7 linked regions of the Canis lupus familiaris genome follow. The protein of the gene in region 7 purifies or fractionates together with the protein of the main gene of each other region. This does not show direct contact. Links are inferred from orthologs where the notes say so. Each region holds a gene or a part of one and is shown on either strand. Other genes may lie near its edges.

Region 1 (4,528 bases), on a different chromosome or scaffold from region 7:
CATCCACACTGCTGGCCTCTCTGACTCATCCTGGGAGGCTTGCTTGCTCCAGGAACCCCACTCACACTGCGGTGGAACAACAGGGAGGCTCCAATGAAGCCAGCCCTTTCTGAAATCTGCCTCTTTTCCTGGCATCTCTTCTTCTTGTCCAAAGCTACATGAGAAGGAGAAAAAGCAAAAATGTCTTTCCCTCTCTTTAAGGTGACGCTTTTAGTAAATCGTTTTTAGCAATTCTAATTTCAAGTTTATAAGCTACTTTTTTTTTTTATTGCTGCTGCTTTTAAATATTTCATAATCTGGCTAGTAGAAAAACCTACTAATGCTCCAATTTTCCTTTTTCCTCTACCAGCAAGCCAAGAGAGTCAATTCTGACAGTTACATTTTCCTTCCCGTTACAGGTTAAATTGTTTCCCTTTTTGAAATAAATTATTCATAAATGTGCATAGTCTCTGAACTATGGCTCTTCCCAGCCCCAGATAGGAGACTGGGTAGGTGGAAATTGCTCATCTGCCCCATTGGCTGTTCTGGAGTTGTGCAGAACTGGGTCTTCACGCTATAATCTTCCAGGCCAGGATTTTCCTTGGCCCTCCCCACTCCTCAAAGAAAACCCTCTGCCAAGAATGGCTCAAGCCCATGATTTCCCAATCCAGATGGATTCGGACAATAAATTTCCCTGACTTAATTTGCTAAGAGGGTCAAAGTTGAATAATATAATGATAATCAAAAATTGATCACTGACTCAAATCTAAGTTTGGCCAATAGCTCATTCAGATGCCTTATTATTTTTTTTTAAAAAAATCACCAAACACATTCTGAAAATATAAAAAGGAACTCCAGCCTGAGTGTCTCATTAACTCGGGGAAGCCTGACCCAGGCAGTCACTAAAGAAGTGACTTTATATACCTAGCTAGGGGTGTCTATGGGAGAAATCCAGAGGCGCTCATTATTTTTGGTTGTGGAAATTAGCTTGGTCGTGCACGAGTACCACTTTTTCCCCCTCCAGTTAAGATGCTCTCTCTCCATATATGTGATATATAATATATCAATCTGAAGCATTTTTACCCACCTTATTATAGTTAAGAAAATAACTTGAGGTTACCCTGATTTGAGCTGGGACAACCTGCCCACTCGGTATCCCATAGATCATCGAGCCACAAAGAACTTACACAGTGACCTTACTTGCTTTAATTCTAGGTGCAATAGGGCGCCCCCCTTCGCTAGAGTTTAAGCCTGGGAACAGGCAAGAGGGTGCCCCGCAGGGCCAAGCGCCTCACTCGCCCAAGGAGCGCGGGCCAACCTGTCGCGGAGATCTGGAGGTGTGTTGGCCGGGGAGAAGTGGGGTTCTAGGAGGAGGGCAGTCAGCGAGATTCCAGCCGAACTAGCCGGCGGGGTGATGGGGGAGGGCAAGGTGGGGGGACTGCGGGGCCCCGCGTCCTCAAGCGCAGGAGGCAGCGCGCGCGGGCCCAGGTAGCGGAGGATGCTCGGAGCGCCCCGGGGCGGGCGGGGCCGCCTCCCCTACCTTGACCACGTCGTCGTTGAGATGCTTGGGGTCGCGGTTGACCAGGTCGATTTCCTTGGTGTGCGCGTCGTACACCTGCTTCTCGCTCATCTCCTCCGCCATGGCCTTGTTGTTGGGCTTGTAGATGTTGCCCTGCTCCCGGATGGGAACGGTGTAGAGGTGCCCCTGCGCGGGGTGGGGGGGGGACGGCGGGGTGCGGGAGGGGGGGGCGGAGATGGGAAGAAAATGTCAAAAAAGGCAATGCCAGAAAAAGGAAATGTCAAAAAGGAAATGTCAAAAAGGAAAACGAGCGGTGCGGCGGCCCTGGAGGTCGCCCGCCAACTGGCCGCTCGGGCGCCGCCGGCGCTTAAGAGGATGGAGGCGAGGACACCACACCCCTCGGTGCCCGCGGGGAGCCCCGGCCTCCGCCGCCCGCCGCCAGGGGTCAGCGCGCACCCGCGCCGCCCCCGCCCGCGCCCGCCCCGCGCGCCCCCCAGCGACCGCGGGGACCCGTCCCCGGCTGCGGGGCGCCCCTCCCCCACCCTGCTCTCCAGAAGCTCTCCGGCGTCTCCCTCGGGCCCGCTGGAGCCCCCGGGACCCCCCGGAGGGGCCCCCTTTCTGCCCCTTTCTGCCGCACCTCCCCGACACCTGCTGGCTCGCCGCACTCTCCGCGCCCCCCGCCCCCGCGGGGCTCAGCGTCCCGAAAGCGCCCGTGTCGGGAGCAGCGCCCCCCGCCCCCCTGCAGACCGCCCCGAACCGCGACCTCGCACCTGCCCGGCGCCCCCGACCTCCCCGACCTCCCGCAGGTCCCTCCTAGGCCGCCGGCGGGGCGCGGGGCGGAGGGCGAGTTTGGGGAGCGAGATCCCCGCGCGGACGAGGGGTGGCACTGGGAGGGGAGGGCGGGCAGGGACAGGAGGGGAGGGGAGGGGAGGGCAGGTCCCCCCTCTGCAAACACCCCGCCGGGCGCCGCGATGCTGGAAGGGTTCTTGAGGCGGCCCGAGGGCTTCGGGCGGTGCCAGCCGGTCCAGGCGCCTGGCGGAGCGGCGGGGACGGTCCCCCGGATCGCGGGGGGATGGCGGCGCACCCCGCGTCCCCGATCGCAGCCCCCCAGCGCGCAGGGGCTGGGCCGTGCGGGTCCCGACCTAAAGCAGCGCCCCGGGCCCGCCCACGACCCAGGAGCGTGCTCTGGTCCCCATCTCGGGACCCCGGGGCGCCCCCCGCCCCCACTTTCAGCCTCCCTCTGGTTTAGGGCCCGCCGGCCCCCCTTTCCGAAGAGCAGCCTGGACGACATTCCTGCCCCCTCTTCAGCTCCCCGCCCAGGCCCATTCCTCGGAGGTGCCCGCGCCGGGGGAGCGCCCGGCGGCCGACCGCGGGGGGTGGGGTGGGGGTGGGGTGGGGGTGGGGGCGCCCCGGGGGCTCCCCGCGCGCACCCCGCGAGCCTACCTCGGAGTCTACGTATTTGCCCCCAGACATGCTGGCCGGTGGCTGGGTGAAGGCTCCGAGGTTTCCCTGGGCTGTTATTCAAGGGAACCGAGGAAGGAAGATCTTGTATTGTGCAGGGGGGGGGGGGGGGGGGGCGGGGAGGCGCAGGCGGGGGGCGGCGGCTGGGAGGGAGCCTGCTGGCCGCGGGCCCGGGGCTTGCCGCGAGCGCCCGGCCGGGACCTGCGCGCCGGGTCCGGGCACATCCCCGGGGTTCGGCGGCGCGGGGCGGGGAGCGCGCGGGGAGCGCCCCGCGGGGGTGGCCTAGACCTGGGGCGCACGTCCCCGGGGGGCTCGCGGCGGCGTCCTGCGGGGGCGCGGGGTTGGCGCGGGGCGTCGCGCTCCTCCCCGCGCTCCTCCCCGCGCATCTGCCCGCGGAGAAGCCGCCTCCCCGCCCCCATCCCCGCCCGCCCAGCTCTCCCCCACTGTCACCGGGAGGAAAGGGACGAAAAAGGGCGCAGGACTTTTGGGCACGATGCGCCCCCGACGGCGAGCAAGCACACGTGCGCGCGCGGTGCAGGTGGCGACGCGCCGGCTCACACCTGGCGGCCCCGGACAGGACACACAGACACGCGGAACTCCAGTTTCCCCGCCGCTTCTGAAAGCCCCCCCTGCCCTGCCCCCCAACCCTCTGAAGCAAACGAGAATGGCAGGCTTCGCCCATCTTTCTGGAACTTTCTGGAAACTTATGCCCACACGTTGTGCCACATTTCCAAAAGACGTAAAAATATTTACAGTTGTAGGAATATTTAGTGGGAGCTTCAAGTTTGTCATAGAGGACTTTTTCTTTGCACTTTTTCTAATTTTTTTTTCTATTTTTTTTTTTTTTCTAATGCACTTGCCCGTGCGTTAGAGGAGACCCGGTTCTTCTAGGAACCGATCTGAAGTTTAACAAATCGTTAGCAGTTATTTGCAAATGTTTTCTCTATTCCTGAATGTGCGGCTGCTATCTTTTTATAAAGCGTACGCCTAAGGTGAATGGAACAATAAGCAGTAGTTTTACATCTGGGCTATGGAGAAGTCAAGAAGTTCACTGTCTTTTGGCCTGTGGCTCCATATGCAATCAGAAGGAGAACTAGAGGGGCGGCCCGGGTGGCTCAGCGGTTTAGCGCCGCCTTCAGCCCAGGGCCTGACCCTGGAGACCCAGGATCAAGCCCTGCATCAGGCTCCCTGCATGGAGCCTGCTTCTCCCTCTGCCTGTGCCTCTGCTTTTCTCTCTCTCTGTGTCTCTCATTAATAAATAAGTAAAATCTTTTTTTAAAAAAATAAAAAGTAATAATTAAAAAAGTAAAATTAGAAAAATGATTTTAAAAATTTAAAAAAAGTAAAATCAGGACTTGAAATAGAAAATCTGACAATCTATCTGAAGGGGCACAGGTTACAGGAAACATTTTGGTGGTCTGTCCATAAAGGCGGAGGCACAAAAGGAGGAGGAGAACGGGTAATAGAGGATGGGACCCTTGGAATTGATTATCTAGTTAGAATATATGGAACTGTAAAAGAACTATAAAGGACAGGCTATTGTTGGTGGTAAAAAGCAATACAACCTTT
Region 2 (3,918 bases), on a different chromosome or scaffold from region 7:
CAGAATGATGGCCATTTCTAGAAATCTTCACTCTTCAGCTTCCAAAGATGGCTGCATGTGGTTGGCTGATGGCAGACTGCAGGTAGAGTCCCTTTCCTGTGGATGGTGTCATTTCTGTTGTGCAGCAAGTAGTCAACAGCCCTGTACCGTGTAGCTATGGGAACTTGAGACGCCCCCCCACCCCAGTATGAGAAAGAAAAAGAGCTTAGCAAGCTGGGGGATTCGAGCTTCAAGTGTGCTTTCTAAATAACATTTGCAAAACCCACATTTATAGGCATGCGTCAAATGTATCTGGAAGACTACCTTGACCAGACCATTGGCCCTCTGCCTCTCTTTCCAGTGATCTTTCCCACCTGCCCAGTTGCACCTGTCTTGGGGAGAGAGAGGGGTGGGTTGCACTGTGCTGACTTTCAGTTGTGCTGAATTTGCATGAGTTCTGCTCTTCTGTGACCCTTCTAAACCTGGTTTACCGCAGTTCTAATTGTTGAGACACTTACAAAGGTGATCGTTGGATTTAATAAGCCACTTTAGTAAACTAGTTCCAAATCCTGAGCTTCACTAGCAACCAGCACACAACCACTAGAAGTGTCCATTCTTTCTGGATATACAAACTGGACCAAGAGCACATTTCTGCAAATAATGCTTCAAGGCTGAGGAATATTACAGCTTCTCACTGCATACCTGGTAGAGCAATAAAGTGAATTAAAGCAGTCTACTAGGGCATGATAGCTCCTCAATGCAGATTGTTTTGAAGGATGAGAAGTCACAAGTTGAATATGCAGGGTAGATAAAGTAATTGCTCACAGTCTATATTTTCAAAAAGGAAGCGAAGCACACACATACTAGTTTACACATCGCTTCATATGGTTGGCTAAAAGCACTGGGGAAATATAAAACTTACATACGAGGCAGAAGGTTGGGGGCGAAATCTATCATGCACTGGGGAGAGATGATCAACTCTGCTGCTGAAGGGGAAGATTGTCTAGTGCAATTTGCTAATGGATCTGGTATTGGCATGGATGACCGGAGCTTCTGCCCCATAGAGTTAAAATGTAAACGCACACAAAAGGAATAAGGGTGCTACTGTTTTCTTGGCCTTATAGACAACACAGGACAGTAATTTTTTAAAAAAGTGTGCATTGAGGGGTGGCACATGATAGTCCAGGGAAGGTGGCTGGGTCACCGGGCAAATGTGCTAGTCTTCCATTCACCCTACCCTAGTCATAGCTCAAGGAGCTTTGTCTTCCTTAAATTGGGTACAGAGGGGCTTCCAGATACAAGAAAGCATGAGAGAAAAAGTCAAGTTCACATTTACTAAGCCATGGCCAGCCACTTTGATATGGCATCCAGCCCCAAAAGAGTGATGGGGCGGGGCGGGGAGGGGAAATGGCTGGTTGAAGAGGCACTATGAATTGAAGGCCATCTGAAGACCATGTAAGTCATTTGCCTATACTAGTTTTCCTTTTCTTATTGAATGGAAAAGACTCTGGAGAGACTTCCACCACCACTTTCACTTTTACCCCTGTCAGAAAGAAAACAACCAACCAATAACCAAACAACAACAAATACTCAAGCAAACAGAAAGCAAACAGAGAGACAGAGAAAGAAAGCAAGAGCGAGAGCGGGGGGAATGGGAGGGGGGGAGAGAGGACTGACTCAGATACAAAATAAAAGCCAAGGAAGTGAGCAAACAAATCATTCAGCTGGACATTTTGAGATGCCCCGAAGGCACGTCTACCCAGCTGCACAGTGATAGTTATGGAAGAATGGAGGTCTTGCTACTAGATTCAGCCCGAATACACTCATCAGTTTGCTTCAACAGCCTCCGGACCAGCTTTTCTAGGTCCCTTCTTGATTTCAGTTCTTCTTCCAGGCATTGCTTCATTCTTTTATTTTCCTACGATGAGAAAAGACTCATTAATTCCCAAACTACGTGGCCCCTTCCCAGGGCTCCTCCTGTTCCTCCTCTTGGCAGCTTTCACCACTGACCACTTTCCTTCCTCAGACTCCTCTCCTTCAGCTTTTAGGACAAGGCAGCCCCCTGCTTCTCCTACCTTTCTCTGGCCAAGCCTTTGCAGTCTTCTTGCTTGCAGTCTAAGCGTCCTGTACAGCACTGGCCCGGGCCCTCTTCCAACTCAGCTCTCTTTTCACCTAATGTCTCTTCTTCAGCTCAACTCAGGGGCCTCCCTAATCCCTCTGACACCTGACCTCATCTCATCTCACGAGCACTAGGTCCACAGTCCCTAGTGTCAAGTTGATATTTACAAGCACTTCAGACTCATATCCTAGAGTGAACTCAGTCTCTCCTCTGTCACCCCAAACTTCTTTTCCTCCTGTGGTTCCTGAGTTCGTGAAGGGCACTGCCCTATCCAAGTAGGTATCCATGTAAGAAGCCTCATCTTCAATCTCTGGCTCTCCCTCTCAGTCCCAACATCACAGCATCAATTTTCCATAGGCTCTAACTCTACGATGTGCCTTCCTTTACATTTGTTTTCCTTCTCTGCAGCCTCAATGGCACTACCTCAGTTCAGAAATCCACTGTGTCTCACCCTGAGTTTTGTGACAGATAATCTCTGTTCTCCCCCCTCCAGTCCATCCTTTACCCCGTCACCAGGTGCAGCCAGTCCCCAAACACCAGGAAGTGTGCATCATGGAGCACTGGATCACATCTTCAGAGGAGCCCGCAAATCAAGATTTATGGTTCTCTTTATACTTACACACTCGTGGATGACTTATCTTTTCTAAAATTCTGTTTACAAATGTCAGAGAACATGAAAGTTGTAACTAAGTATTGGGAACCTATTGTAAACCGCTAAATAGGTATATGAGCAAGCCTAAGAAATTTAAACCCAACACTACATGGCAAAATCAACAGAACTCACCCTGTAGAAATAAGAAAAATCCCCACCTCACCACCTTGTTCCTATTATATGACCCAAGAAAATCAGTTATATATTTCATTACCTGTTTCAGTTCTTTGACCTCATCCTTCAAGGCATACACAGTATCAACAAGACTCCTAGAACATAAAGTTCAGAGATTCATAGCTGGTACTGAAACACTGTCACATAAAACTTAACCATAAAAGCCACTTTCAAGAAATACAGATCCTGAAAAACAGTGGCCTTTTTTTGGGGGGGGAGCTGGTTGGGAGAGATACTGCTACGAATGGCCCCTGTGGTCTCTATTTTTATGGGCAAACCACCACCAGCCCACATGCTCATTTGAATGCCATGTCATTACACCTTTACTATAGTGCCCTCCTCCTTGGCCACTTACTTCCCAGCTTGGGGGATTTACAAAAAAAGAGACTAGAGCTCATCGCAAGGTTTTGACTTTCTTAAGAGCAGGAATGAACATCACATAACATATAATGAGGGGTGTCATGAGGCCCTGCTTATCCTGTGCTATGGCATTGCTGCTCTCACCTCTGTGACCCTACGTGACCCTATATGACACAAAGTCAGGGGCATTCTTTCTGGAAGGTCTCATCTGTTCCAAAAGAGGATAAAATGCCCTGCCTGACTCGTGGAACAGTTAATTCCCAGATGGCTCTCTCCCTGGACAAGAATTCTAGAGATCTGGGTTCCAGGTCTGACCCTACCACTTACTATCCTCCAGCCTTGGGTAATCAGGTTCTTTCTCCTCTCCTTGCCTTACTTTCTTCGCATACAAAATGGGGATAATACCACATTCCCCACAAACTTCACAAAGTTGTTGTGGGGATTAATATAGCTCTCTATAACTATGTGCCAGCCTTTATACTTATTATTCCATTTAACTTCACAATAAACCTTAAAGTATTACTATCATACTTATTTACAGATGGGGAAATGGAGGCACAGAACGGTAAAGAGGCTGGCCCCAGGTCACACGGCTAACACGATGCTGAATTTGGGCTTGAACCAGGACTGTTCT
Region 3 (4,623 bases), on a different chromosome or scaffold from region 7:
GTGTCTGCCTTCAGCTCAAGGTGTGATCCTGGGGTCCTGGGATCGAGTCCCACATGGGGCTCCCTGCATGGAGCCTGCTTCTCCCTCTGCCTGTGTCTCTGCCTCCCCCCCCCACCCGCCGCCGTCTGTCTTGAATAAATAAAACCTTAGAAAAAAGAAATTATGTATTGTAATACATCATACAGTCTCCATTTGCATGAATAACGTGTATTACCGGACACTGAGTAACACTAAATACTAAAGTGTATTCGACTAGATTCTTCAAAAAACTATGAACCTGGTAGCAAAATTACAAAAAAGTTCATTTTAAGGACTTAACAGTCTCCTTTATTAAAGCCTTAATATTTTAGGGTGACCATAAAATCTGGAAACTATCAAACACTTTTCTTCTACTCAATGACCAAAGAATGTCAGCACTTTGTGAGCTGGCAAGACGCAAATGGGAGTGATTCCAACAAGCAGGCACACCACTCCATTACACCAAAGTTGTGAGAAAAGTTGGACAATCATTTCCAGAAAAAGTGGCAATGTGGAGTGTTCTTCGTGGTTGTAGGTTGGATAGAACCTCCTTGGCTGCTGCTTCTGGGGTGTGCTAAATCCACAGGTACATTTGACAGAAAATCAAACAAACATCACAAATCCATCTGTGTCTGCATGTAAAGATGCTGCATTACTCCTCCTCATTCACTACAACTTTTTTTTTTTTAAGATTTATTTACCTATTCGTGAGAGACACAGAGAGAGGCTCTGGGGGGGGGGGGGGGGAATGGACACATGGGACTGGATCCCCCAACCGGAATCAGGCCCTGGGCCGCCCAGCCGTCCCCATTCACTGCAACTTCTGCACAGCACATTGAATCAGTGAGAAATGATCCACCAAATACATCGGCTTTAAAATGTATCAAAAGCTGGGGGGTGGGATCCCTGGGTGGCGCAGCGGCCCAGGGCGCGATCCTGGAGACCCAGGATCGAAGTCCCACGTCGGGCTCCCGGTGCATGGGGCCTGCTTCTCCCTCTGCCTATGTCTCTGCCTCTCTCTCTCTCTCTCTGTGACTATCATTAAAAAAAAAAAAAAAAAAAAACTGGGGGGTTTTCTGGTGTGTATTTGCCTCCTTTCCAGACTCTGCGGTCATCGTATAACTCGGCACAATGAAGCCAGCTGCCACTGTTCGGGAGCTCGTCACATGGAGGAGACTGTCCCCGACCTGAGGTCCACAGCAGTGACCGCGGCCTGCGAGGTTCCCCCAAGTGCAGTGAAGGCTGCCAAGCCCTGGGCCCCGGGCCCGCTGGGGGCCGCCACCGCCATCCCCGCCCCGCACCGCGCGGAGGCTGCATCTGGCTCCTCGGGCTTCTTCCCCGCTGCCTGGCACCCAGGGCCGCACTGCAGAACCCGCTCCCCGTCCCGGGCTCGGCCCGCCGGCCTCGCGGCCCAGGCCTCGCAGGTGCCCCCGCCGTCGCCGCACGAGCCCGCGGGCAGAACAGCCAGCAGCCCCGGACCGCCGCCCGCGCAGACCCAGCGCCGCCGTTGTTTGTTTTAAAGGAAACACTTCCTGGCACAAGTTTAGCGAAGACTATGGACTCTGAGCACGCAGACACGTGGTTGCGGCTAATCTGCCCCCCCCTTTCCGAGCGGCCCCCGGGCTGCTCACGGCGGACACCCCGACGCGGGTCACGCGGGCTCCGCGGGCTCCGGGGCCTCGCCAGGGCGGCCGCCGCAGGGTCGCAGGGCGGCAGAGGGACAGCAGCGCCCGGGGAGGAGGCACCGCGGCGGGGCCCGCCTCCCGCTCAGGTGCAGGCGGGGCGGGGGCCTCCTGCCCTGGGGAGGAGGGGGCGGGAGGGACGCCTGCCCTGGGGGGGGGGGGGGGGGCGGAGAGGGGGCCGCCTGCCCGAGGCGGGGACGGGGTAGGGGCCTCCTGCCCTGGGGGGGGTGCGGAGTGGGGGCCGCCTGCCCTCGGGGCGGCGCGGGGTGGAGGCCGCCTGCCCTGGGGGGGCGCGGTGCGGGGGCCTCCTGCCCTCGGGGGGGGGCGCGGTGCGGGGGCCGCCTGCCCTGGGGGAGCGCGGAGTGGGGGGCCTCCTGCCCTCGGGGGGGGCGCGGTGCGGGGGCCGCCTGCCCTGGGGGGGCGCGGAGTGGGGCCTCCTGCCCTCGGGGCGGCGCGGGGTGGAGGCCGCCTGCCCTGGGGGGGCGCGGAGTGGGGGCCTCCTGCCCTCGGGGGGGGGCGCGGTGCGGGGGCCGCCTGCCCTGGGGGGGCGCGGTGCGGGGGGCCGCCTGCCCTCGGGGGGCACGGGGTGGGGGCCGCCTGCCCTCCGGGACGTGGGGGGGGCCCGGGGGGCACGGGGGCGCGGGGTGGGGGCCTCCTGCCCTGGGGGGGTGCGGGGTGAGGGCCGCCTGCCCTGGGGAGGCACGGGGCGGGGGCCTGCCCTCGGGGGCGCGAGGGAGCGCGGGGTGGGGGCCTCCCGCCCTCCGGGACGCGGGCGCGGGGCCGCGGGGCCGCGGGGCGCTGGCCCTGCCCACCTGTAGCAGCGCAGACCAACTTTCCCTGGGAGCGGGAAGGCTCGGGCCGCTCACGCCACCCCCCGGCCCCAGGCGGTAGCGGCCCGGGGCTCCGAGGGCTCCTCACCTGAGGGCCCTAAGCCCCACCTGGCCCGCGGTCCGCGGCCCCCGGGCTCCCCGGGGAGGCCGGGGCCCCCGCTGCGCATCAGGACTCGCGGGGCGGGAGGACGCGGTCGCCGCCTCCTGCAACTTCGGCTGCGAACTTCGCCAGCGCGCAGCCGCTGCCCGCCCGCCGCCCGCGCCCGGCCCCCGGTCCCCCAGCGCGGCCCCCGGGGAGGGGCGCCCCGGGAGCGCTCCCCGAGGCCGCGGGTACTTACAGCCATAACGGGGTCTCTGCAGGGCCGGCGGCTCCGGGGCGCGCCCCCCGCGGCTCCCCTCGCCGGCCAGGCTGGCGGGCTCCGGGCCCGCGGGCGCGCTCGTGTCCGGCCGGTCGCCGCCCTGCCCCGGCCGCAGCGACATGGGCTCCGGCGCTCCCGGGTCCGCTCCCGGGTCCGCTCCCGCAGCCGCCTGCGCCGACGCCGACGAGCGAGCTCCGCGTCCCGGGCAGGTCTCCGCTCTCCTGCCGCCGGGCCCCGTTATCCCCCGGGAGCGCGCCGCGCAGCAGCGACCCCTACCGCGAGCCGGGCGCCGCGCGGGAGCCGAGGGCCCGCCCCTTCCCGGCCGGGCGGAGCGGGGGGCGGGCGGAGCGAGGGGCGGGGGCGCTGCGGGGGGCGCTGCGGGGCGGGGGGCTGGGGGGGCGCTGCGGGGCGGGGGCGCTGCGGCCGGCCGCGGGCTTCTGGAGAGTTCCGAGGGTGGAGTGAGCCCACGTGGGGCAGAGCGGGAAAGCGCGGGAGACGCGGGCGCGCTTCTCTGCGCCCCGGGGAGGTGGCGCCGTGCCTTCTTCCTTCCTTCCTTTCCTCCTTTCTTTCCTTTCTTCTTTTGCTTTAACTTCGAAAGTTGCTTCTGCGACTCTTTGTCTACAAAATACAGGGCTCCCCGTTCATGACAAACGGGGAGTGCGCGAGTGTCGGGAGAGCAAGAGGAGCAGCGCCCCCCGCCGCCCCCGGGGACCCTCTCCCAGGCGGGCTCCCAGCACAGCCAGTCCCGGCCGAGGCCGGAGGGCACTAAACGGCCCGAGGCCCCCTTGGAAGGGCTTTCCTAACGCGGTCGCGGTGGCCGGCGCGGGCTCTCCAGGGCTCCCCCAGGGCGAGCACCGCAGGAGGTCTGGGGGACCGTTTTATTTTTTTATTTTTTTAATATTTTATTTATTTATTCATAGAGATGCAGAGAGAGAGGCAGAGACACAGGCAGAGGGAGAAGCAGGATCCATGCAGGGAGCCGGACGTGGGACTCGATCCTGAGACTCCAGGATCACGCCCAGGGCTGCAGGCCGGGGCTGCCCCTGGGGGACTGTTTTAAACCCATGCCTCACCTGTTTGGGGACTGTCAGAGGCGTCGGTGACCACGTGCTGGCAAAACAAAGTAATTGCGGCAGCGTGTGAGACTCTAACTGGAGAGAAAGTGCATCGTGACCCTCCTGAAGCACGCAAAGACGGGCCGGGGGGCTCCCGTCTCACGGCGGGAGGGGGGGGGGTGCGGCCCTTGAAGCTCAGCCCCGAGGGCCCCACCCTCAGAGGTTCCAGTTCCTCGGGGGTGCTCGGGAAGTAGCATGTCTAACCAGCTGCGGGGGAAGCTGACCCGCAGACCTGCGGCCCCTGCAAGAGCGCTTCAATAGAGGGTAGGCACGAGGCGGTTGGCTTGGCCCCAGGGACATCCCACCCAGACAGGCCGGAGAGGCGATTCTCAACCACTCCTCTCTTTTTTTTCTTTTCTTTCTTTTCGAGAGCCATTAGATTCTCCCCTGATCGGGATGGGATGTGTGGGGGTTTTCTTCCCTAAAGAGCAGATGCCTCTAATTAAAAGAGCAATTCCAAAGTGAAACAGCCACGTTTTAAGTTAGAGCACCCTGCCCGTCGGTGTTCACCTGGAGGAGGAGCATGTTCAGGGAGAGTTTTCTACGCTTTGGAAGATGCTGGATTGGAGCATAATCTAAAGTTCATTCCATCTCTATGATTCCATGTATAAAGTACTGG
Region 4 (4,425 bases), on a different chromosome or scaffold from region 7:
GAGTGATCCCTAAGGTCAAGTATGGGCTTTGGGAGACGATGTGTCAAGGTGAATTCATCAGTTGTAACAAATGCGCCACTCCTGCAGATGCTGACAGTGGAGGCTGTGTATGTGTGGGCACAGGGGTTACATGGGAAATCTCAGTCTTCCTCCTGATGTTGAACCCAAAACTGCTCTAACAAAACAAAGTCTTAGAGAGAGAGAGAGAGAGAAGAATGGACTCTTGTCCTTTTGTATTGGTGAGGGGGTAGGTGCCTGGGGTGGGCAGGGTGGGAAAGGGGGACCAGAAGGGGGCAGCCATCTGCTCACCGCTTGGCCTCCTCCAACCGGCACAGGTACTGATAGGCCACATTCTGCCGCCTCTGCTCATCCATTTCCTCAGCTGTGAGGCGTTCATCTGAGGAGTGAGGGTCAAGGTGAAAAGTGTTAGACAAAGGGCCAGAGTGCTGAAGTGCTTCTCAACAGACTTTCTTGGGCAGCTCTGCCCAGAGACCACTCATACGTCTGTCCCCCTCTTCCTAACACCCCTTGCTCCAATCTTGGGCCCCCATCTCGTAAAGCTGCCCTGGTCAGGACCCCTTCACGGGGAGCTCCTTTCTTTTTCCCTCCAGCCATCTCCTGACCCCTCCTTTCTGTCCGTCCAGACCCTTCTGTGGCTGGGAACGTAGTCTCTGTGTTCTCCAAGACCTGGCCCGTGTCATCCTCCTCAGGCACCCTCCCAGAAGCTGGGGCTAACAGGACCAACTGGGACTCATCATCCAATCTCCATGCATTCGTACCCTACCTTCTATCTGTCAGGCCCTGGGCCAGTGGATCCTTACAGATTAGCATTAGAAAAGAAAAACGTGTAAGTGACAAATTCCAACCTGAAGTGACAAGTGTGATTACAGCCACAGACATGCAAGCAGCAGAGGAGACAAAGGGTTCTTCCCACCAGTAAAATCTTAAAGAATGAAGCAGGAGGGGGCAGCTCAACAAAGAGAACCATGTGGAGGGCAGCCCCAGTGGCCCAGCGGTTTAGTGGTTTAGCGCCACATTCAGCCCAGGGCGTGATCCTGGAGACCAGGGATGAGTCCCATGTCAGGCTCCCTGCATGGAGCCTGCTTCTCCCTCTGCCTGTTGCCAGGGAGAGGCAAAGAACGTCTGTCTTTGAGGCAACACGTAATGTTAATCCCACTCTTTCCCTTATTTCCCTATATTGCACATCCTGCAACATGATTTGGACCAGGGGCGGGGCTTGTTGGAATTGGCAGTTAAGCAAGTTCACACACACGCAACGTCTCTGCCTCTCTCTCTGTGTCTCTCATGAATGAATACATAAAATCTTAAAAAAAAAAAAAAAAAAAAAAAAGAGAACCATGTGGAAAAGGAGGGCACTCCAAAAAAAAAAAAAAAAGAAAAGAAAAGGAGGGCACTCACTTCGGATGAAGTAGGACAGAGAGTCTTACAAGATCACAAGGATATCTTTACTTTTTTTGGTATAAGTCACCTGAGGAGGAAAACAATCTTCACACTAAATAAAATGCAGACAATAGGCTGACCCCAAACGTGAGAGCGGGGAATCCCCTAGGTGAGTCAACATACTATTCCGCCTTAGCCTCCACCTCCCTTCAACCTCCCCTTCTCCCATCTCCCACCTCTGGAGTGGCCTTCTGGAAGACAATACAAAATCAGATTGGGGGGGGGGGGGACGCCTGGGTGGCTCAGCCTTTGGCCGGGGGTGTGATCCCAGGATCTGGGATGGAGTCCCACGTTGGGCTCCCTGCATGGAGCCTGCTTCTCCCTCTGCCTGTGTCTCTGCCTCTCTCTCTTGCTGTGTCTCTCATGAATAAATAAATTAAAAAATCTTTTAAAAAAATCAGATGGGGGGAGAGAAAGCTGAACATGTACACACATGAGGAATAAACAGAGGGCTCGGAAAGAGACACGTCTGTCTTTGAGGCAACACGTAATGTTAATCCCACTCTTTCCCTTATTTCCCTATATTGCACATCCTGCAACATGATTTGGACCAGGGGCGGGGCTTGTTGGAATTGGCAGTTAAGCAAGTTCACACACACACACACACACACACACGCAACGTCTACAACCGTTGGTTGCTAAGCATGGAAAATAAACAGTAAGCAAATGACATCACCTCGGAGTTATGAACTGAGGGCTGTGTGAGACGGGCAGGGCTTCCTCCCTACACACACACTTTTTGTTTTTTTTTTTTTAAGATTTTGTTTATTTACTCATGAGAGACACACAGAGAGAGGCAGAGACACAGGTAGAGGGAGAAGCAGGCTCCCCGCGGGAAACCCGATACGGGACTCTCTATCCCAGACCCCATCATCACACCCTGACCTGAAGGCAGACGCTCAACCGTTGAGCCACCCAGGCGTCCCCCACACAGTCTTATTTAAATTTTTTTTTAATTTTTAAAAAAAATCTTCCTGCGCTTCACAGGTCTAGAACTAACTTTCCTTCAACAGATCCGAGAACAAGGACTTTGTTTTTTTGAGCCCTAATGGCAAGAAAGGGGAAGGGGTGGAAGAAGATTTTGCCTTTGTTCAGAAGGTCAGGCAGCAGCAGCCTTTCTGCCGTCCAATCCTCCTGACCCCACTGTCTTTCCAAAACAGTGTTTTTGCAAGTGTGGTCCGCGGACTACCTGCACGGTTACGTGCGGTGAGGCAGCAGCACAGCAGGGCTTGTTACCAATGCAGACGACGGGCCCCGACCCAGCGAGCTGGCGCTGCGACACAGGGCTGAGGAGCGTGCCGGTCACTTCCGGTCATCCCCGGCACACTTCGAGGGCCACCGTCTCCCCCGCGGCATCGGACGGGAGTCCCGGCCCCTGGTGGCTCCCTCCCCGCGCCGCGCAGGCCCGCCCCCTTCCTTGGACCCCCTCCGTGGCCCCCTCTGCACTCACACAGCGCCGAGCCCGCGCCCGCTCTCCGCGGCTCCATGTTCCTCCTCCTTCCAGGTTTGAATCTCCCGCCGCCGGGCCGCCGCCCTCGTCGTTGCAGCAGCCCGACAGAACTTCCGGCCCGAACCGCGGGGGCAGCTGGGATGTGTAGTCCAGACGGTGCAGGCGCAGGCACGCCGCCAGGTGCGGAGAAGGAGGTGCTGCGGCACAGTGGGAGCGGCATCTCCCTCTCCGCGCGGCGGTGGGCTGCTGTTCCTCTACGGATCCTCCTCTACCCTCTCCTCCATCATTTGCCCTAGTGTTCTCAGGAACTCCGCTGCGCCTCCTGTAGCGTTCTTGGCTCCCGCTAACTTGCGGGCCAGCTTGCGTGAACTAGATGGTGCGGATGCAGAGAGAAATTACCATAGTTAGGAGCGCCTGGCTGGCTTAGTCGGTAAAGCGCGCAACTCTCGATCTAGGGGTTGTAGGTTCAAGCCCCGCGTTGGGTGTAGAGATTGCTTAAAAAATAAAATATCTTAAAAAATCAGCATAGTTGATGCCCTATATATAACTTGCTATTCTGGAATGAGTGACAGTCAAAATACATGAGAGGTCAGCGATATTCAGAGGAATGAGGTCGCTACAGCAATGAAGTTACTACGGTAATGAAGTTAAGGGCAGCGAAGGACAGGAGGACTTTCTAGTGGAGGTGATAGCTGATGTTTGTTGGAAAGGGAACAAGACTTCATCAGCCTGAAGGAGAGAGGAATCTTAGCGCAAACAGCACTTGTGACCAAGGAGGGAGCCCAGGAAACGAAAATTGGTGCAGTTCTGTAGGTGAACAGAGTTCGGACAGGGAGAGGCGGGAAGAGCACCTCTAGAGACACGCTGGCAGCAGCTGCAATGCCAGACAGCAGGCTGAAGAGCAGGATGCGGTCTGGGGAGCAGCCACAAGCTCAAGAACACTTTACATATAGGTGGAGTCCCGGTTCACATTTTACAAAGATTCATTTTGCAGCAGGGGCTTGGAGCCAGGTGACACTAGGGCCAGAGACCAATCCAGAGTGTATGGCAGCAGCACAGGTGAGAGCTAGTAAGGCCTGAACTAGTCAAAATAATTATAATGACACCTGTCCTAAAATTTTGTTTTGCTATATTACCTAATGGGCTTCCCCCACCTGGTATTTCTCCTTTAGCCCTCCCTCCCTCCTACCAGTGCCCCAGTCAAGCTGCAGCCTATGCTCATAGCCTCAGGGGAGGCACCAGAGGGGTAGAACACAGAAATCATCCAAACCTTCCGAGGAACAGAGGAGATGCAGGGCTGAGACAAAACTGTGGGAGTTGTGGGGTTTGTAGAGAGTGGCTCCCCTTTGCTCACCACGCAGGAAAGTAGAGGGAATCTAGACTGCTGGTGATAGAAGCCCACTCCCTGCTTTCTGGAAAGGCCATGGGCCTGAGACCTGACAAGGAACAGTTGCTAACAAGGCCCTGATGTACAGAAACCCCGACCCCAGCTAGAAAGGAAGTACATGGACGAG
Region 5 (3,805 bases), on a different chromosome or scaffold from region 7:
TCACCTTCATAGTTGATACAACCATTGCTGTCCTCATGCCCCGCCACCAGCATCTCTACTTCTTCCTCCGTCATCTTCTCACCTGCAGAAGGAAAGAAAAGCATTCTGGGATCTGGGTGGCAAGTGTGTGTCAGGTGGCACCTCAGCTCAAAGGAGCAAGGGCAGAGCCTTACCCAGCGTGACAAGAACGTGCCGGATTTCAGCACCCATGACGGTGCCATTCCCTTCCTTGTCAAACACCCGAAGGCCTTCGACGTAGTCCTCATAGGTGCCCTGGTCCTTGTTCTTGGCCACAGTCTGCAGCATGGGCAGGAAGTGTTCAAAGTCCAGCACCTTCACATTCATCTCTGCCATAAAGGAGGGGGAAGGAAAGTCACCCGGGTCCTCAGGACTGAGGAGACTACAGGGCTCCCACGGGGGCAGGGGGCTCCCACTGAAAGCAGGAGTAATCTGTGGGATTTGCTAGTTGAGACAAATGTGCTTGAGGTCTGGGCCCATGAAGATAAAGGGAAGCTCTTAGCTAAAGAACTGTAGGCCCATTACCACACTGAGGAATAGTTCCTGAGGACCCTCACCATCGCTCTTGGGGTTCCCCAGGACCTTGAGCACCTCGGCGTTGGTGGGGTTCTGGCCCAGGGCCCTCATCACGTCCCCACACTGGCTGTACAGGATCTTGCCATCCCCTGTTCGATCGAACAGCTGAAAGGCCTCCTTGAACTCTGAAGATTCAGACAAGATCAGCACTGAGCATGCGGGGGTTGACCCAAACCCTGCCTCCCAAACCCCCTCTGCCCAGTCAACTCTTGATCATGCTGAGGAGACCAGGTGTTTGTACCACTGTACGCCCAGGCCCGCTGAGAGGGATCTAGCGTCCCTGCGTCCCTGCTCAGGCGTTCCACATAACGACACGGCCTCCCCCTCCCCAGGGCTGAAGGGTAACAGCCACTTACACGCCCCTCTGCCGACAGCAAGCCCGCCCAGCCTCCTCACTACACTCAGGGCAGGAATTCGCCACCGCCCAGTCTGGGTCCTGTCCTTATAAGGAAGAGGGAGCAGCAGCCGGGGACCGGGGTCATCCCTGCCTGCCACTTCCCACCTCTCCGGTACAGACTTCTAGAGGGCACTGCTATGAAATATCCTCAGCAAATTCCCGTCCCCATTTTCACAGAATTCCAGGTCACTGCTTTCTACACTCTTCACAATCCCGGACTGGGCGGGGGGGGGGGGGGGGGGGGAGCTGGGGGTGGTGTTATCACAGGAGGAGGAAAGAGGCAGAAGCTGATTAAGGGACGGAGGAGCGCAGGCAACTTAATACACCCTCCCCGCCCCGCACACACCGCAGGCGTTAGGTGACCAAGTTGTCTCATGCCCACACCGCCTAACACTCACCCGGGGCTTGGGGCTCGGATCTAGAGTGGAAGGGGAGGGAGGAAGAAAGAGTGAGAAGAGAAAATGGAGGATGCCGAGGAGGGAGAGGAGACGGCAGGAAGTAGGTCCCGGGGGGAAGAGAGGGCCGGCCTGGTGGGGGTAGTGCTGGAGGCGGGGGCCCCTCTCCCGAGACGCGACCTCAGCGGGTCGGGGCTTACGTACCGGCGGTCTGGTCCTCGGTGAAATCACACTGCTCAGGGAAGAGGGGGGCCGTCAGCATCTCAACTGCAGCCCCCAAGCGTCCATCCCCGTCCCGCCAACTGAACCACTAAGTCCTGCTCCGTGCTGGGGACTCGCTTCCCGCCAGGACAAGACCCCCGAACTCTCCAACCCCGCCCCCGACCTGCCAGGCCCTCGGGTTCGCTCCGCAAAGCCCCGCCCCGGCCTCCCGCCTCGCCCCGAGCCACGCTCCGCGTCCCGGGCCCGGGCCCCACCATCGCGACGGCGCGCCTCTGCGGGACCCTCTCCTGCAGCAATGGCTCCGGCGCCCGGCCCTGCCCTAGTCCTCGTGCGTCCCCGTGACGTCACAGCGCCGGCCCAGCCAATAGAAACGGCGGCCCGGCCTTATGCAGATGAGGGCGCTACGTTAGTAATGAGGTGGGCGGGGCCTCCGCTCCTCCCTCTGGCGCCGCGCTCCCTGCGGGGGGCCGAGCTGCGGCGGCGGGTGGAGCCAGGCGCGAGGAATCGGAGGGTCGGCGATCCCGGAGAGGAGAGGCCGCCCCCCGTCTCCCCCCCCACCAAGAAAGCAGCAGTCGGACGCCTAGGGAGGAGCCGTCTCTTTATTTTGAAACAACAGGGGACCTCCTAGTGGCAGGAACGTGCTTCCATCGCCGGGGAGGGGCGCCGAGTCCAGCCCCACCGCGCCTGTGGAAACGAGGCAAGCTGCCGAGGGCGGTCGCTCGCGCGGCGCCGTGGGCTCGCCTTCCCGGCTCCGTGGCCCCGCCGAGGGGAGGGACGGAAGCTGCCTCGAGCGCAGCGGGACGGCCCTACCTGTAGGAGCTCAGACGCTGAGGATGTGCTTCAGGAAGGCTGCGGAGACGAGGCGGGAGGGTTCAGAAGCAGGCCCGGCTCCGGGTTCAGATAATCCGGGTCCGTCCCCCCCACCCGGACCGCGAGCCCCGGCCCCGCCGCTCCCGCCGCTCCCGCCGCTCCCGCGGCCCCTCACCTTCATAGTTGATGCAGCCGTTGCTGTCCTCATGTCCGGCCAGGACGGTCTCCACCTCCTCCTCAGTCATCCTCTCTCCTGAGCCCGACAGAACAGATCAGTCCCTGCCCACCCCCCCGCCCTTCCTCTTCCGGGCGGTGCCCCCCCCCCCCCCAAGCTTGGCGCCGAGCCGAAGCCCAAAGGAATCCTGGTAAGGGCCCCTCAGTGTGCCCTGCCTCTCCCTCCCACTGCACCTGCCCGCGCGCCTGGTCAACGCCTCCACGGAGGGAAAGGGGACGGGGGCCCCAGGTCACAGAGCGCAGGCCTCTCTCCCACAGCAAAAAGTCAGGCTTTCCACCTCACCCCTCTCCTCTGTCCTGTGGGAGGCAACTGCACCCCCTCCCCTTACCTTCGGGTTCTGCCCCAGGGCTCCGACCTCCTTAGCCCCTGCCCATGGCCTGTAGGGCGGTAATGCTTCCCGGCCCTGCCTCCGTGCCTACTGGTCTGGCCCCTGCTCCCCGCCCGCCCCGAGTTCCGTCCCTGCCTCACCCAGGGTGGTGAGCACGTGTCTGAGCTCCGCGCCCATGACTTTGCCGTTCCCCTCTTTGTCAAACACTCGAAGCCCCTCCAGGTAGTCCTCGTATGTCCCTTGGTCCCGGTTCTTGGAGACTGCTTGGAGCATGGGCAGGAAAGTCTCGAAGTCCACACGCCGGGACTTCAGCTCTGGAGGTTGGAAACGGGAGGGAGGGGTCACTGTAGTGTCACCTTGGGCCCAGCTCCATCCCTACCACGAAGCTTTTCATCCCATTCAACGTTCAGGATGTTTTTTTAAAGGTGTCTGACAGTGTTTGAAGTCCCAAGAGCCACCCCAGCATCCTTTGTCACCTTGCCACCATTCCTCGGTTCCACCACCACACTGAAAAACCGCATTGCTCCAGGCATCCCCCTCACCATCACTCTTGGGGTTCCCCAGGATCCTGAGCACCTCGGCGTTGGTGGGGTTCTGGCCCAGAGCCCTCATCACATCCCCACACTGACCATACAGGATCTTGCCGTCCCCTACTCGATCAAACAGCTCAAAGGCCTCCTTGAACTCTGAAGTACAAGGAGAGGTCAGTGTTGAGACCAGGGGTTCCCATCACCACCCCCCCACTCCACCCCTGACAGAAAGGAGGTTCAGAAACTCCGAACTAGAGCTAGGCAGAACAGAGGACACAGAGCACTAGGAGGAAG
Region 6 (4,183 bases), on a different chromosome or scaffold from region 7:
AAAAGGCTGCTGTCAGTGAAGGGCCAACTCCATGCCCAGCTTCAAGCACAGTGGCTGGACTCACTGTCACTCCTTGACGAAATACCCACCCAAATGAGTGGACATTTACAGCTCAGGTAAAGAGATTTGTTGTTATAAAACAAATGTTATTTGTTACAAAAGTAATTTCCACATACTTTTGTTGTGTAACAATCATCATTAACTTTCCACTTTACCAACTACATCCCTAAAATAAAAGAATTTTGTTGATTATTCAAGCAAAGTTACTGAGAAAAACCTCCAACAGAAGGTCTACAAACAGATGTTTTGGCATTCAGAGATGAAAAGGAAGGGGTGTGCAGAGAAATGTTTCCTCTTGACAACCTTGAAGATAAAGCAAACACTCATCTCCTAATAAGTTCTATCTTCTCACCTTTGCTAAAGGGATCTATAGTAAGAACCCTACATGTTCAAAGTAGATCTTTAAAAAGCCAGCAAGTCCACCTCCTGTGGCAACTCCATGTAAACAATGGGTCAGAGTAGCCAAGGCAGGGCAAGAACCCCCAAGTGACAGGAGGGAGTGAGAAGAAGAAAACACCTGAAAAACTAGATGCGTCACAAGTATAAATTGGCAGAAAGACAAACATATTTGGAACTGACAGAAAGCAGTCTTCATGAAGGAAATACAAATTCACTCTCAGAGACAAGAGTAGTGAAACACAGAAGAGGTATTTATTCTGAAAGGGCCAGTAAAGCTGTAGACTGACAAAGGATTTGTTCTCTTTTGTCTCAGAAGTTGTTATGGCTGCTTTCGTTCACATGCACTTTGTTCAGAAGTCATGGTGATATGTCAAAGTGGGCCAGATTCCTACTCATCTGCATTAAAGTCCTAGGATTATTTCACTGTTTTACCTGGAAGTACATAAAATTCATCAGTTTTGTGACCTCAGGCTCCAGGACCTCGACGGTTTTCTCATAAATTTCCACTCTATTAGGTTGCTCATTACATTTCACCTAGGAATAAACAAGTATGACATAAAGAGGCTTCAACTTAGCTAGAAGTGAGAGGGAAGGTCATTGTTAGGTCATTGCAGTCCCAGCCTGCTGTGGCGTGGGATGTGGGAGGGAGGGTAGGCTGGTGGAGTAGGGGTGTGGTTAGGCTGAGATGTGGGGGGAGAAGGGTAAGAGCACTGTCTGACTATGGTAGGGGCATGGTCAGCAAGAATGGGTGCGCCTGGCTGGGGTGGGGACACCTGTGGGATGGCCCGAGAGCAGCTCCTCCAGGTGTACAGCATGACCGCGTACTCTTGGCCTTCTTCCAGCATTTCATTCTGTAAGGGTACACAGGGCAAATCAGCAAGCAGGAAAACAATCATAAAAACGGAGATGCCTTGTTGCTAAAATCCAGAGGCAATCCTGACTCTCACTCTGAGGTACAGACAAGTACCAGGACCTGTATGCCACGAGGCAGCTGCTAAGAAGTTGGTGATGCTGCAGTGTAGCACTGTGGCCATAATGACCTCCGGAAACACCCCCATGGCTTCTGTGGGCTGGAGAGGAGCCAACACAAACCTTGGCACCTGCCACAGCCGCTATTCCTCAACTCCGCTCTATCCAAAACAACCAGCTGGCAGTGCAGATCTGAAGTTGAGCACAGATGCCAGCATAGTGCAGATGTGCACAGGGTCAAGGCCTTACCACCAGGCTACAGAGAGCCTCTGGGCTCCTAAGACTGAGGCAGCTCCATCATCCCTAGTGTGTAGGAGGAAAAGCTACAAGTATTTCTGTAGCACTTAAAATCCAGAGAACAGTATCCATGCAAAGAGGACTGCCATAATTTTTTAACTGCTGTAGTGTTTACTCTTTTCACATTGTTTCCTTTGGTAAAAATGGTAAAAAGCGCAGAGATGTTCTAAAAATGTCAACTACAATTTCATTATGTTCTTAAGAGGCTTTAAAATGTTTACAACTTTTGATCTAGTAACTTCACTTATACAAATCTAGCCAATGGGAATAATGATGTGTTTGGAAAGATATTCATTATTATATTTTTTATGACAAAGAAAAAAGGGAAACTAAACATGCAAAAATAATGAAATTGTGGAAATTACAAAATGGAATAGATAGCTATTAAATATTACTTTAGCTGGCACATTTTGACATATGTCATATGAAAAGTTCATGAAATCATTAAAATACGTAATAGCAACACAATTCATTCATGCAATCTGAATCACAGTTGCGTATATAACTGCATGCATGAGTACAGGTATAAATGATAAGAGAGAATGGACTCCCTCAAAATGCTGACAGAAGCTTCCTTGCTCAATTTCTTGCTTCAATTTTCAGAAAGAACATGTATCGTTTTTATAATAAAGAAAACAAAGTCTTCTCTAAAAACATAAGGCATCTTCATCCACTTTCTTCTCTTTTTCCTTAGTATATATCATACTAAGATAACACCAAAAAGTGTATATTTGCCATCACTAGTAGTATTCCCCCAAGGAAAACAAAAACATGCAGAAGGAATTACCATGCTAGAATGAACAGTCGCTTGTTCAATATATCTTGCAATACCAGTAACAAATGCATTTCTGTCTTCAAAGTTAGTGTTGAAATTTGGCTGAAAGGAAGAGAAAAACCATCATGTGGAGGTCAGCACTGCAGGCAGTACAACCTACTGCTGTCCAGCACAAACCTGGTAGAGGAGTGAGGATGGTGGGGGCTCGATGCAGGGCTGCTGGTCAGGCAAAGGCAGCTCTTCCAAGAGGTCCACATTGGATAGTGCATCCTCCAGTGTCACCTGGGCCGCCATCTTGGCCTAGAACAAAACACAGCACAAACCTGCACTGTGAGGAAGGGTGGAGATACTGACAATCATTCCAAGGTAGGGAAATCAGACCCCCACTTGCCTGATCCCTCTCTTGAGCAATGGGGATGGCTGACGTGGTCATGACCAATCCCTTGGGTCTGTTGTCTCTCTTAGGACTTGCTGGCAAAGAAGTCATGATGTAGCCTCTCCTGGCCTCCAGTTGTGTCACAGTGGCACATGAACCACCACACATACCTTTGCTTCCTGTCACCCTTCCCACCTTGGAGCCATCATCCCTACTGGGCTCTCTGGGAGGGTCTGACAACCTGCTCACTGGGCCAGAGGAGGGAATGTCCTCTTCAACACCACTGCCCCAACCACTTCAACACCTGTCTGCCCCAAGGAAGCCAGCACAGCCTCCAACCTCCAAGGGGGCAAGAGTGCTTCCCTGCAGATGGACATTTCCCAAGTGGTTCTTCTATGCAAAGCAACACACTAAGGAATAGAGATGGAGAAGGTCAGAGCCCTTCTTCCTCCAGCAACTGCCTGTAGGGACTACTAAGGTGGGGGCCAAGGGTCAACATGAAAGAGGGAGGGGACTGTTAGCACAGGACTGACAGCACAAACTCCAAGGCCAGTGCAAGAAAGCACAAAAAGGGGGTGGATGTCATCTAAACACATCTGTGGCAGCTCCAGGGGAGAGGAAACAGCACATTCCAAGCCTGCCTCCTTCAGAATGCTGCTCCGACCCTGGATGGGATACAGGGAGTAGCAGCTCCATCCTCAGACACAATACACCAAGCAGCCCTGACTCTGGACACGCGGAGCAGCTACATGCATTGTGAAAAGGAAAGAGCAGCAGGCAGGCTGGTGAGAACACTAAATGGAAGAAGCCCTCAGTTGCTCCTCCCAATACTGGGCGCCAGACAAGGTGTCAGTGTAGAAGTGCGTGGTGAGGAGAGTTACTAAACCCCCAGCTACTGGCTGGAAAACCAAAAAGGGAACCCCAGAGCACCGGAAAGCCCCAGGGACAGTATGGAGAGGAAGAATCTCAGAAGAATGAGATTATAAAGTTGCTAATGAACTCTGGGCCCCCACCCCTAAGCTGTAAGTGCATGAATCTGATCCTCTCACACTCCAATCCCTGAGATCACAGCCAGCTCCCAGATGGCCACAGGTGGCACACACAGGACAGACCCAAATGGCACTCTAGAGGCTCTGAGAACAGAACTGACATTGAATCACACCCCAGAGAAGGAGGTGTCAGAACCACAACCTACATTGAACCAGGTGGTTTGCCTGCTAAAATAAAAAAAAAAAACAAAAAAACAAAAAAACACAATAGCATTCTCCTAGGACTTCAGACCTAGAGTTCCATTTCATAATATCCAA
Region 7 (3,918 bases):
GGAACCCAACATTTACAACAGCAGGCATTTTCTCTTCCTCTTCTTGACGGGAGGGGGGCAGAGAACCGCTCGAATAGCTTCATCAAACACTGTCTTGAGGCCTCGCTGCGTGAGAGCAGAGCACTCCAGGTATTTTACAGCACCTGCCGAGAAACACAGCCTCATAGCCACATGTGGAGCCCACCCTTCTGTCCAGGAGGAGGGCAGGAAGCAGCTCCCCAGGCCCAGACTCCTGACAGCCCGCTGGGCACAGCAGAGCAACCCCTGACCTGCACCCGGAGCTCACCTACTGAGCGCTCACACTGAGAGCTTTGCCTGGCTGGCTCCCCAGAAGTCAACCATAGCCTGAGTCAGAAAAACATGCTCTTTACTTCCCACAGACTGGACTCCTGTCTCTGCCATGAAAATAAAAGCACGTGCAAAGCAGATGTGAAAATGCAGATTTCCTACCGATCTCCTTAGCCATGGCCAGACCCTGTGGGTAGGTGATGGGAGTCAGCTTCTTCTCCTTCAGTTTCTCAATCGTGTCTTTGTCGTCCCTGAGATCAAGTTTAGTCCCCACCAAGATGATAGGGGTGTTGGGACAGTGGTGTCGCACTTCAGGGTACCACTAAATGTAAGAGAGGAAGAGAGTCACCACACCCTCCCTGATGAACCTCTTTTGCCTAAATTACATCCCCACAGGTGTCAAACTGTCAGCCACTCCTTAGTTGCTGCAGAGTCCTCAACAAGACACAGCATCCCACCCTTCAGCCCTGCTCACCTTGCAATACCTTCCAGAACCACGGGCCTACCTGTGGGCATTCGAATAGCAAGCTGGGACTCCCAAGAACAGGCAAGGAGGGAACATCCCCCTCCCCCAAACCACTACCTCTTGGTAAAATGAGTTAAATTCTTAGATGGTCTCTTGAGAAACCTCCCTATTCAGCAAAAAAGTCAACTATCGACTGAGGTCTCAGCTCTGCCACCATGAGCCCCACTGAACACATCCCTGACCACAACTGGAGGACATCCTGCACATGTCATTTTTCACAAGTGACCAGGGCAGCAGTGGAAAGTCATGGTCACTATTTTTATTAGACAACCCCATCAGGCAGACTCCAAAGTGCTCACTACTTTAGCAAGGAACAAAGCGTTTCTGAATCAGGCCCTGAAACTTCAGAACTCTACATAATAAAGTCATATACTTCAAAACTGATTTGCTACCTAAGTAGAATTACAACATCAATTTAAATAATTAAAACTCCTATCACCAAGTGTTATTTTTGCTTCCCAAGGAGACATTACATAACAAGATGTTCCTCTAAAACATTCCCCACTTACCTTTGCTCGAACATTTTCAAATGATGCAGGACTCACAAGAGAAAAGCAAATTAAGAATACATCCTATAAAAAGGAAACAGGGAGGCGTTTAGAAATGGTCTTACAATGATGAATGCACTTTGCTTTGTAAATGCTGTTGGGAATGAATCATGAGACGAACTGCGTATATGTACCAGCAGCTTGTGTCTAAAGCTTGCTTCCTGGTTCCCCCCTTCAGTTCTGTCAGAAGGCTCCCAAACCAGAGCCAGCACATGAAGCAGCCAGTTACTTCTGAAAGGGGGGAGAGGATTTACTAGAATGTGCTCAAATTTACTGGAGGCCAGGGGGGACCTCAAATCAGAACCCCCAGAGGCTTCTTCTCCATCATTTCCAACTCCCCCTGGGAATTTATCCCCTCCACCCCGGAATTTAATGTTCCTATTATATATAGGGACAAAATCAAGCTACCACTCCAATATTTCTGTAAAATGTGATCTCCATTTATCAAAAGCAGAGTTGATTTTAAAAACCTTTATCAACAGTGTGCTTTTCAGTAAACTCCTCATGTGCACATTAAGTACATGTATAGTGGACCACTGGGGTGCAATTAAACTGCTGCTTTAAGAACTGCCACCAGAGTCCCTTGGCCCGGAGTGGGGCTCAGTGGTTTGCTCAGTGAGCACAACCACTGTGCAGAAGGGCAATCTTGTGTGTAAGTGGCCTCTCCTGGCTATCAGCTTCTCAATCCCAAGTGGGGTTCTCTGCAGGACTTAGAGCGTGCGGCAGTGGCAAAGTGGAGATTCAGAGGAAAAGTCAGTGCAGACTAAATACCTGGAAGATTTTCTGACTGAATGTAAAACATATCTCCCATTCTGTATTGTGTAAGAAGCCAAACTAAAATATTTACCTGTACTTAAAAATGCTTAAGAGTTTCTAAAATGCTAGGTTTATAAGACATTTTCCTGGAAAAAGGCAGCTATGCTTTGTGAAATGTACCCAATTCCCAAGCTAACACTTTCACCAATCCAGCTGATGTCTTGTACCTGGAAAGGGAGAGAAACATCCCACACAACAGCTTTTTTAAAATGACATTTTCCAAACGCTAGCGCATGCACAGGCTCGTCCAAGAATCACCTCGGCATTTTGGCACCTGATTACGTCACTTCAAAGCAAAGGTGGGTTAGCTCACCAGCACCGCACAGCCATGCCGCAGACAGGCCCGCACACCGGATACCACAGCGGAGGAGGCCCTGGCAGCCACGGTTAGTCCCCCTTGGGCTCAAGCATGGGCTCCATGGTGGGCTTGGGGCAGGGGGCTCCACACCTTCATCTCCAACCCGCCTGAAGAGGCCCCTTCATAAAAGTTCCTCCTTCCCCTTGGGAGGAGGGGAGCAAGCAGTTCACAAACCACTTTAATTCAAGCTAGTAGGTAAACTGTCTCGCTCTACTGAAAGCACATTTTATCAAACAAAACCCCAACCTTGAGTGAATTAAATTTAAAACACTCAAGGAACATGAGGCTCAACAGGAAATTCTGGGAAAACTAAGTGAAATGAGAGAACAGATAAAGCTTGAAACTGAAGTGGATTGAAAGTTTTACATACGGCAATCAGCTTGTCTTTGCCCCTGGAGGGTATATCCTTACCATACGTTTCTCCAACCTAGTAATGCATGAGAACTTTGTCTGAGTTTAGTAAAAACTGAGGAAAATGCAAGTCAATATAATCCATTATTTCTTCATCAGAATTGTCTCAACCCTCCTAAAGGATCTGAAAGCAACTGACAAATACCACCAAACAGTTCATCAAACCCTGTGAAGGTCAACGAGGGTGAAGACAAGATGTCAGGCAGATATGGGGAAGGAGGGGGGCACTCCTTTCTAGCCATGGCAGCGCACAGAGGGTGTGCTTCCAGCAGAAGCCACAACACGCCTGAGAAAGCACACGGGTCACGTCCAGGTGAGAAAGGTTAAGGAAGCACCCTTCCTTACCGAAGGGGTATCCCTGTGCCACTGCTGGCTCCCACTGGCAATAGGCACACCTGTCACAGCTCTCCATCCCAGGTCTGAGACCTAAGCCCAGCTGAAGCCGCCGCACGCAGGAAGAGCACCTGTCTGTAAACACAGGCCTCTCAGACGAAGCACTCCCCAGGAGCACGGCCCAGTCAGAGAGCTGTGAACACGGCCAGCCTCCTGTGTGCAAGTGCTGGTCCTCTCTTCCCCCAAATCCTGGGAATGCAGTTTGGATTTAGGGGCCTGAATTACTGGAGTAAATGCACTGAGACCTTTAATTCCCCCCCCCCCCAGCTTTGGAGGGGAACGCCCAGAAGGGACAGCATTTCTCATGTTTACCACAGTGCCATCAATTCATTCCTTTGTTCCGACAAAAATCGGAAAGACTTGCTCTTCAAGCAACACAGAAACCTACAATTTTTTTTAAGAGACAGATGGACAAGAGAATTTTTTAAATTTCATCTCATTTAAGTCTCTCTGATCTACAATTCTAACAACATGAAAGTTGCCCTAATTATCCTGGGTTTAATCTATGGGCGACTTTTGAAGATCTGTGCTCCCAAGGCCTTGACATGCCACCAAATATTTATTGTGACACAAAAACT

Evidence for each region.
Region 1: the proteins of RAC1 (region 7) and CAV1 purify together in Homo sapiens (affinity purification with western blotting; 4 studies listed by BioGRID and IntAct, with this or other methods). This does not show direct contact. The link is inferred for Canis lupus familiaris from reciprocal best matches to the Homo sapiens genes RAC1 and CAV1.
Region 2: the proteins of RAC1 (region 7) and ARHGEF6 purify together in Homo sapiens (affinity purification with mass spectrometry; 3 studies listed by BioGRID, with this or other methods). This does not show direct contact. The link is inferred for Canis lupus familiaris from reciprocal best matches to the Homo sapiens genes RAC1 and ARHGEF6.
Region 3: the proteins of RAC1 (region 7) and IQGAP2 purify together in Homo sapiens (affinity purification with mass spectrometry; 5 studies listed by BioGRID and IntAct, with this or other methods). This does not show direct contact. The link is inferred for Canis lupus familiaris from reciprocal best matches to the Homo sapiens genes RAC1 and IQGAP2.
Region 4: the proteins of RAC1 (region 7) and IQGAP3 purify together in Homo sapiens (affinity purification with mass spectrometry; 3 studies listed by BioGRID and IntAct, with this or other methods). This does not show direct contact. The link is inferred for Canis lupus familiaris from reciprocal best matches to the Homo sapiens genes RAC1 and IQGAP3.
Region 5: the proteins of RAC1 (region 7) and MYL6B purify together in Homo sapiens (affinity purification with mass spectrometry; 3 studies listed by BioGRID and IntAct, with this or other methods). This does not show direct contact. The link is inferred for Canis lupus familiaris from reciprocal best matches to the Homo sapiens genes RAC1 and MYL6B.
Region 6: the proteins of RAC1 (region 7) and CYFIP1 purify together in Homo sapiens (pull-down; 3 studies listed by BioGRID and IntAct, with this or other methods). This does not show direct contact. The link is inferred for Canis lupus familiaris from reciprocal best matches to the Homo sapiens genes RAC1 and CYFIP1.

The regions. Positions count from the first base shown.
Region 1 is NC_049235.1:55,588,971-55,593,498, reverse strand, and holds the start of CAV1 (caveolin-1), read right to left. Parts: upstream 2,972-4,528; coding exon 2,942-2,971; intron 1,685-2,941; coding exon 1,520-1,684; intron 1-1,519. UniProt on the Homo sapiens protein: May act as a scaffolding protein within caveolar membranes. Forms a stable heterooligomeric complex with CAV2 that targets to lipid rafts and drives caveolae formation. Mediates the recruitment of CAVIN proteins (CAVIN1/2/3/4) to the caveolae.
Region 2 is NC_049260.1:107,986,032-107,989,949, forward strand, and holds part of ARHGEF6 (rho guanine nucleotide exchange factor 6), read right to left. Parts: intron 3,020-3,918; coding exon 2,965-3,019; intron 1,898-2,964; coding exon 1,757-1,897; 3' UTR 1-1,756. UniProt on the Homo sapiens protein: Acts as a RAC1 guanine nucleotide exchange factor (GEF).
Region 3 is NC_049224.1:30,384,322-30,388,944, forward strand, and holds the start of IQGAP2 (ras GTPase-activating-like protein IQGAP2), read right to left. Parts: upstream 2,933-4,623; 5' UTR 2,869-2,932; intron 1-2,868. UniProt on the Homo sapiens protein: Binds to activated CDC42 and RAC1 but does not seem to stimulate their GTPase activity. Associates with calmodulin.
Region 4 is NC_049228.1:41,365,328-41,369,752, reverse strand, and holds the start of IQGAP3 (ras GTPase-activating-like protein IQGAP3), read right to left. Parts: upstream 3,024-4,425; 5' UTR 2,949-3,023; coding exon 2,912-2,948; intron 2,809-2,911; exon of another isoform or gene 2,651-2,808; intron 817-2,650; exon of another isoform or gene 785-816; intron 398-784; coding exon 310-397; intron 1-309.
Region 5 is NC_049231.1:828,367-832,171, reverse strand, and holds the end of MYL6B (myosin light chain 6B), read right to left. Parts: intron 3,668-3,805; coding exon 3,524-3,667; intron 3,296-3,523; coding exon 3,122-3,295; intron 2,672-3,121; coding exon 2,594-2,671; intron 2,458-2,593; coding exon 2,429-2,457; 3' UTR 2,419-2,428; intron 2,293-2,418; exon of another isoform or gene 2,190-2,292; intron 1,997-2,189; exon of another isoform or gene 1,866-1,996; coding exon of another isoform or gene 1,863-1,865; intron 1,619-1,862; coding exon of another isoform or gene 1,591-1,618; intron 720-1,590; downstream 1-719. Other genes in the region: MYL6 (myosin light polypeptide 6), read right to left, coding at 5-82, 174-347, 576-719, 1,591-1,618, 1,863-1,865. UniProt on the Homo sapiens protein: Regulatory light chain of myosin. Does not bind calcium.
Region 6 is NC_049224.1:32,055,169-32,059,351, reverse strand, and holds the start of CYFIP1 (cytoplasmic FMR1-interacting protein 1), read right to left. Parts: upstream 2,801-4,183; 5' UTR 2,795-2,800; coding exon 2,678-2,794; intron 2,603-2,677; coding exon 2,513-2,602; intron 1,311-2,512; coding exon 1,233-1,310; intron 994-1,232; coding exon 892-993; intron 1-891. UniProt on the Homo sapiens protein: Component of the CYFIP1-EIF4E-FMR1 complex which binds to the mRNA cap and mediates translational repression. In the CYFIP1-EIF4E-FMR1 complex this subunit is an adapter between EIF4E and FMR1.
Region 7 is NC_049227.1:11,837,269-11,841,186, reverse strand, and holds part of RAC1 (ras-related C3 botulinum toxin substrate 1 precursor), read right to left. Parts: intron 1,387-3,918; coding exon 1,324-1,386; intron 611-1,323; coding exon 451-610; intron 144-450; coding exon 13-143; 3' UTR 1-12. UniProt on the Homo sapiens protein: Plasma membrane-associated small GTPase which cycles between active GTP-bound and inactive GDP-bound states.